Coturnix japonica: one gene and its partner. The protein of the gene in region 2 binds, or shares a complex with, the protein of the main gene of each other region. Links are inferred from orthologs where the notes say so. Each region holds a gene or a part of one and is shown on either strand. Other genes may lie near its edges.

The links. Proteins that work in one complex are often made in the same cells at the same time.
Region 1: the proteins of SRC (region 2) and PTPN1 are in contact, whole or in part, in a crystal structure (PDB 3ZMQ), measured with the Homo sapiens proteins. The link is inferred for Coturnix japonica from reciprocal best matches to the Homo sapiens genes SRC and PTPN1. Residues at the interface, in NP_005408.1 of Homo sapiens: Glu527, Gln529, Tyr530, Gln531, Pro532; in NP_002818.1 of Homo sapiens: Arg45, Tyr46, Arg47, Asp48, Val49, Asp181, Phe182, Ser216, Ala217, Gly218, Ile219, Gly220, Arg221, Ser222, Gln262.

The regions. Positions count from the first base shown.
Region 1 is NC_029535.1:12,141,629-12,145,144, forward strand, and holds part of PTPN1 (tyrosine-protein phosphatase non-receptor type 1), read right to left. Parts: exon of another isoform or gene 3,347-3,516; coding exon 3,137-3,346; intron 2,825-3,136; coding exon 2,663-2,824; intron 2,096-2,662; coding exon 1,860-2,095; intron 942-1,859; coding exon 734-941; 3' UTR 1-733. UniProt on the Homo sapiens protein: Tyrosine-protein phosphatase which acts as a regulator of endoplasmic reticulum unfolded protein response. Mediates dephosphorylation of EIF2AK3/PERK; inactivating the protein kinase activity of EIF2AK3/PERK.
Region 2 is NC_029535.1:4,438,624-4,442,803, reverse strand, and holds the start of SRC (proto-oncogene tyrosine-protein kinase Src), read right to left. Parts: upstream 2,817-4,180; 5' UTR 2,553-2,816; intron 1-2,552. UniProt on the Homo sapiens protein: Non-receptor protein tyrosine kinase which is activated following engagement of many different classes of cellular receptors including immune response receptors, integrins and other adhesion receptors, receptor protein tyrosine kinases, G protein-coupled receptors as well as cytokine receptors.

The DNA of each region.
Region 1 (3,516 bases), about 7.7 Mb from region 2:
AAAGAAAAAGAAAAAAAGAGCTGGACATGTTGACATACCCTGAGCAAATGCAGAAGCCTGTTTCTATAAACAACGTAAAACAATAAGCTCTTTCAGAAAAGTTTTGCCAAGATTAAATACATCAATACCACAGGCACTGCCCACAACTCAGTCCTTAACAGATGAAGCAAGTTAAAAATAAAACCAAACCAAACCCCAAACCCACCCAACCGCAGCTGCCCCCGCCCCTTCCAAAAGGTTTACATTCTCCAGGTATGTGGGTTTATTTTTCTTTTCTCGGGAACTCATCGATGTAAGTGATGTATTTGGCTACAACACTTGGAGAGTACAAGCAAGTTTTGTTTGCGCCTGGCTTTTCTGAGACACAAAAGAAAAAGAACTGGCTTTTTAAAAAAGGCTAAGAACAACAATGTGTTGTAATTCTATTATTTAGTTAAAAAAAAAAAAACAACCAAAAAACAAAAACAAAAACAGACTATTTGGCATTTTCTCTGTTTACTCCTGAATATTTTAAGGCCCTGAGATCAGAATATCACGTTCTTGGGACCACAGGGCTAAGTAAAACCCTAGTGCATCAATTCTCTCTTTAAGCCCAAAGTTCTGGCCTTTCAACCTAAGAGCCTCTGCGGAGATGAGGCTCACGTGCCTCAAGGAGCTTTCTTGTACAGAAGCTTATTACAAACCGATCAAATTGTTGGTGTTTTTTGCGGGGTCAGTGGTGCTGGCATGTCCATCAGTGAAAACATACCCTGTAACACAGATAAGCTCCTGCTGTGAGGAAGGTGAACATGCATATATTCACTAGAAACGGCTTCCAAGTTGTCATCATGTTCTCATCATCCTCTTCTATGCTTTCTGACTTCATCGACTCTTCTCTGTGTGCTGAGACGTGCAGGTTTTCACCAACAGTTCTCCTCCGAATTTCAGTGTCTTGACTAGTGCTTAAGGACAAATAAATAAACGTTCAGTGCTGGATTTTCCCTTTAAAGAATGAGCTGACCCAACCTTAACCACCTCTTACTTCCACTGCTCATCCTAAATCTGCTGTCTCTGCAGCCACTGAGACAAGAAAGGGCCAACCTGCATCCAGCTGAGGAGAACAAGGTTCTGAAATCAGCTGCTCAAAGAGTCAGAAAGTGCTGAAATTATGGTTGGTTTGTACTATTGTAAGAGTGGCCAGGAGCACTGTGATGGCTTTTAATGATGGAACTGAAGGTTTCTCCATCTTTAATACGATTTAATGCGTTTTTTCTAGATAAAGACCTCCATCATGTTGATAGTATACTGAAATATAGAGAGGCTTATTAACTTTAACTTTCAGATCTGCTGCATTGCTACTTCCATCTGAATTTAGAAATGAGTTAACCAGCTCTACACCACTCGGATGGAGCAGGAGGGCCATCTAGTGGCCAACAGGTCACAGTCATACAGCACTTCTGTGTGTTTGTCACACCTGACAATTGAGGTTGCAATGACAGGTAGAAAAGTTCTCTGTTCGTGAGCCCCTTCTACTCCTTTCATCAAAACCAGCTTTGCTTAGGATTAATTTCACATTTCTAAGTGCAGCTAAAGCTGATCCGCCCAGCTCTCAGCTCCACCTCCAGTGAAAGAGCTCCTGTGTAACTGAATGTAACGTACACATCACATGTAAACTGAGACTAAGCCACCTTGCTCTGCTGCCACTTCTCTCACTACAGCAGGATCTCGATTTAAAAAAAATGCTGAAGAACTTTTCCATAAAATATGCACAGACTTTGTTTTGGAACTGCTGTTATACTAATTCAGTCAGCGTCTGTTCAGGATTTTCCATATGAAATGCCATTTATGAACAAGCTGAAGTGGGAAACTAAATTAATTACCTGTCTGTGATCAGTGGCACAGATGAAAAACCTCTGCCATCTGGAACCATCTCTTCAACAGTGCTGACTGAGGATCTAATCTCTTCCTCTACCACTTGATGCTTAGGAAAGAATTCTGCATGTTCGTGCATCCTTCCATTGTGCATTTCTGAGGTTCTCTTTGGTGGTCGGGGAGGAGGTGGGGTATGTTCAGGTGGTGGGTCCAGATCTTCATTGGAGAGCTCTTTCCACTGTTCCTTCAGGGAAGGAAATGCCCTGTTACGTTTTCCACTGTTTATTTTATGTAAACTACTGTAACTTTAAGTTGGCAGGGGTGTTACACTCTACCTTCTCATTTATTTTTAGCATGCCTGTTCATTTGCATTGAAAAAAAGGGGAAAAAAGAGACACAAAAATAATACAAAATCTAAGCTATCTGCAGTACACTGAAGACATCAGCTATAAAAGGAAGAAATTTTAATCTACATCTGGAAATTTTAAATAGCATGAAATAGAACCTATGTTGCTAGTTCTGCTGTAAGAATTAATTGCAGTACTTAAATTTCTGCCTTCTTAGAAAGCTGATGAAAGACATGGCAGATGCAGCCAATCTACGCCCCAGTTACGGTGCTGAAAAGTACACAGGCACCACCTATTAGTCTACAGGACTACAGGAAGTATTCTGAGGTGTTGTATTTTAGTACTGCATAATATAAAAATGTATTGAAGCCAAAGGAATTTAAAGCTCGTTTTGTTCTTATGCTACAGTTAAAAAACGCGTTGCAGCTTACTATACATCTGGTTCCACAGTCCATAATACTCACTTGCACTGAAGCATCCCCCATAATGAATTTTGCCCCCTCAATTACAGCTAAGTAGGAGAAACGAAGCTGATCCGCTGTCTGTATAAGTCCCATTCTGTACTTCCTCATTTCTAGGAGAACCTGTTTAACATCCACAGAAGAAGGATCTTTCCGTTTGTCCATCTGAAGATAAAAAATTTGGAACACACTTTATGCTCTGATGAGATTCAATACGATGACTGGCTTCACAGAACAGCTTTCAGACCATTCTACCTATTGCAGAATTAATACACTAAGAAAAAACACAGAAATGGAAGATTGCACTACCTTAGTTTTAAAATGAAAGACTGTCTTAAACTAGAATATGAGTAAGATAAGAGAAATAACGTGCAAAAATACTCCACAGAAAACACCACAGCTCTTCATAGGCCAGAAGAAACCACTGTTCAAGGGAACTCTACTGAAACAGCGTATCATCTCCACAGCAGATCTTACCAGCAGAAGACACGTATCGACCAGACAGAAAGTTCCTGATCTGCCAATTCCTGCGCTGCAGTGCACCACAACAGGTCCATACTCGGGGTTAAGTGAGCCAGATTCTCTCACTTTGAACAGGAAATTGAGGAATGAAGCAGGAGACTCTGGGACTCCAAAGTCAGGCCACGTAGTATAATGAAAGTGCAGAATCTCTCTGGTTTCTTGCATCTGTAAAAGACAGTGCTTATGAAGTCTTTCAGCTGGATACACAGTTTTGCAACTATTCGAATTACAGCTGCTTACAACAATGTTCAAATGAGCAAATACAATCCCTCACACATTCATTTTCCTAGCAAACACTTTCCTACATACTCTCCTACAGTTCTCAGAATGGTGTA
Region 2 (4,180 bases):
TGGAGAAAGGCTGAGGGGTGAGACTGTGTTATCTCCGGGTGCTGCAGTTCCCCATTTTCCTCTCCAAACCCTTCACCAACGCAGACCTCAAGACAGGACCCCTCACGTTACACTGTGGGTATTCCAGCTCCTCCACACCTCTGCACAGCACAGCCATCCTGGGGCTGGGAGCAGCCCCCCATAAGGTCTGAAGCAAAGCCACCAGCCAGACCCCAGCTTCCCCAGAGCTTCTCCTCCCTGTATCCCCACTATTGCTTTCATCCCCTCCACATCTCCAGCACTGCTTTGCCCCCCCCGGCAGCTCCCAGTGCATCCCAAGCATTCCCAGCTCTGTGCCCAGGAGGGCAGTGAGGAGATCCGTAGCCTGGAGGGAAGTCAGAGCAAGACGCAGATTTACAGGTCCTGGTTCCTGGCCCACGTTCAAACCACATGAAATCTGTTTCAAGGCTTTCTTTTCAGCCTGTGCATGTGCAGAGGCATGTGCAAAGCAGTGCCACTTCCCTCACACCAAGGTCACAGCACCAGAGCAGGGCTGCACTGAGCATATGGCCCACACCAACCAGCTCCTTTTTCCCCTGGCCAAGCAGACTGCAGAGCAGACTATCACACAGCATCACACTCCAGGGAGCTGACCCACACTGCTCACCCTGCATCCACACTTCCGAGAGGGCTTTGAGCTCAGAAGCTCTGAGGAAGTGAGGTCAGCTGGGAAATGGTTCCCAGAGATAAAGGGCCAAGTTAGAAACCGTGCTGCAGGACGGATGGTACAGGAAGCAATAGTGCTGCAGATAGCCCTTGGTGCTTCCCCTGCCATGCCTGGGGTGGTGCGGGGCAGCAGTGATGCACGGCTGTGCTTCCCCTTAGGCACGTGGACTGAGTGCTCCAGCCCAGGGCTTGCTGCAACCCCTTCTCCATCCAGACGTGGCACGTGCTCACTGGTCATTAAAACATGTCATTGTGAGCCAGCCCGGAGCCCATGTCCCCTCTGTGCCACCAGTTTGTTCCTTGTGTATGCAGCAGAGCCTTCACACATCAGACTCTGCAAATTACGGCCCCTTCCCTCGCTGTGCTGGGACAGACAGACCCACCTGGGTGATCTTGAGTCACTCCAGGACAATGTCATTCAAAAGCAGAGGTATCTGTAGGGCATCTCCATCACACAGGGAGCACTGCAAGGCCACTGACAATCTTAACAGCGAGCACTGCACATCCCTCTGCTGTGATGGCCCATAAGCAACCCCAGCTCCAAAATCACCGGGCTGTATTTTGGGGAAGCTCCTGAGCACGAGGTGCTCAGATAAGATCCAAAGCTAAGAAGATAAGGTCAAAGCTTGGGAATGGGTGCAGCCCACAGCCTGCTAAGGAGAGGTGCAGTGGGATCACAGACAGGCTCACAGTGGCACAGTGCTCCCCAGGGAGCCTCATCTCAGACACTGAGCAGCAGAGGTTTGTCCATGGGCCAACCATTGAGCCAGCACGAAGCAGCACAAACAAGCAGCAGCAGCAGGGGATCATCCTGCAGAAGAGTGCAGGGGAACAACAGCATCACACTGCTCCCAAGCACAAGGTCACCGGCATCCCACCACATGCCCCATCACATCCCTGGGGACAGGGGTGAGCACCAGCACGGAAGGAGGAAAAACACCAAACTGAGTCTTTTGTTGCCACATTCCCACAGCTCCGTTTACATCCGATGCTGTTGGATCAGTGCTGTCCCATTCCCAGCACTCAGGCACTGAGCACCCTACGGGCTCCAAACACCACTGAGTGGGGGAACATCACCCACGGGAGCTGCTCCCTGTACCCTCAGAGCTCCCGGGCAGCAGAGAGAAGGGACGGTCAAGAGGAAACCAAACTGCCGTGGGGCTGAGCCGGGGACCGAGCGCACTGCATGGGGTCACGGTCAGCAGGGGAAAGTCCACCCAGGCCCCGGCGTGGTTCAGACAAGTCCCACGGTGCTTCCTCGCGGCGGAGACACGCACAGCAGCCGGGCTGCTCCGGGAGAACCTGCCGGCCGGGTACAGCCCTTCCCCGGGCAGCGCGGGGCTCTGCAGCCTCCCCGGGCGAGGGCAGAGCGAACGCCCGGCGGAGCGCGGACACGAGCCCCGAATCACCGACGAGCGAATATCGAGAGGGAAACGGAGCAGGAGACATCAAAGCAGGGGGGCGATGAATATTTCATGCCCCGGCCTGCACACAGCCCGGCTCTCCCTGCTCTGCTCTCCCAGTGTTTCCCGCAGCCCCCGATCACAACAAAGGGGAGTGCGGGCAGGCGGGGCCGGACCCCGCAGCTCCCCCCTCCGCTCCCCCGGCGGGCCCGTCCCCATCCCCCGGCAGCCCCGCAGCCGGCCCCGGGACCCCGCGCACTCTCCGCCGGACCCACGGCCGCCCCACGCAACCCGGAGCCGCCCCGCCGTTACCGCGGGCATTACGGAGCCGCCCCGCTGCCACCCGGGCATCCTCCACCGCACGGCGAGCATCTCCCGCCGGCCCCGCAGCCGGACCCCGCGGGGACCATCCCCGCCGCCGGACCCCGCGCAGCCCCCGCTCACCTCCCGCGTGTGCGCCCCGCGAGGCCGGACCCCGCCGCTCCCCTCCAGGGCTCGGCCGCGGCTTTGTCTCCGTGCCGGGGGCGCGGCCGCCGCCCCCCGCAGCCGCCGCCGCCGCTCTGGGTGCCCGCACCGCGGGCCGGGCCGTGCCGGACGCTCAGGGCTGCGCCGCCGGCAGCATCGCGCAGCACCGCGGATCCGGAGCGCCGCTTCCCCGCCCCCGATCACCCCTTGTACGGGGTGTGTGTGTGTGTGTGTGTGTGTGTGTGTGTGTAAGGGGGGAACAGCCCACAGGGAGGGAAAAAAAACTAGGAATATGGCAGCAGTAAACCGGAAACGGCTTATAGGAAAAAAAAAAAAAAAAAGAAAAGAAAAATCGCCGAGCCCCTCCCCTCGGGTTTTTTTTTTTTTTCTTTTAAGGAAGAAGCCTCCGGGCTGCCGGGCTCGGCGGGGTGCGGAGCAGCGACCGGAGCCGCCCCCGCCCGCGGCTCTACCGACGCACCCCGTCCCGGAGCCGCCCGGTCGCGGCGGGGCCACGCGTGGGAGCGCGGCGCGGTTCTGAGCTCGGCTCCGAGCTGCCCGCCCGGGATCGGCGAGAGGAGAGCGGTGATTTGCACTGAGGTTACAACCCGGCTGCTTTGCGGTTCGCTTTTATTATAGCGACCGGGGCACGCAGCGAACAGCCGCTTTGTGATGGATTCTGCGCCCTCCTGCATCCTCGTCCCCATCCCCCTGATCTCGGGGAGGAGGCAAAACTTCAGCGCAGGGGAATAAACAGGGAAAGAAGAGCGTGCCGTGAGCCTCCCCGTGGAGCCACGAGCGTGGACGTCGTGCCCACCCCTCGTGCTGCCCCTCACAGCGACCAGAGCGGGGGCTTCTGGAAACTCCAGCGCTTCAGAATCAGTGCGGAGGGTGACTGAGTTTGTTTGCAGTGCGCACCCCTCCCCCGGCTCATTTGAGTTATTAAAAAAATATTTCCCGTGACACTGCCGAGGGCCAACAAACCCATGAGTCACCGGGAGTCATGCACACACCGAGCCGTCCCCACCGGCCAGCGCATCGCACGGGGGGGCCTTCCTGCCAGGAGCAGCCTGATCATCGCTCCCTGCATGAATTGGAGGCTGCGGCCCCAGACTGCAGCCTGGTGTCCGTGGAAAGTCCTTTCGGTGTTGTTAATTCTACAGGGCATAGCAGGGCATGGATGGATGCTGCACCCACAGCGGCTGCCCCAGCCCCACAGCCCCGCAGCCTCCTGCAGGCAGCACAGCCCCGGGCACCGGGCTCGGCCCCAGCCCCGAGGTGCTGCTGCACGGGCTGAGCCCAGACCCACATTGAAAATGGCCACCAGACACTCCTGGCATCCAGCCTCTCCTCTTTGGGGCTCTGGCTCAGCAACGTGCCCTCGCAGCACCCTGGCAGGGGCCCTCCCGGCTCACGGCTCAGCTCTGTGCCCGAGGCGCGTTCACCTGCAGCCCTCCAGCTGCCCTCTCCTCCTGCCCCACTCCCAGCCCTGCTCTTCTCACCATCCCACCCATGCTCTTTGTGAGGCATTCCACTCCCTTCCCTGAAACCTCTTTCTTCTTTCTCTTCACCTTTCAGTAGCACCAAAAACACACGGTGGGGGGGCAGGG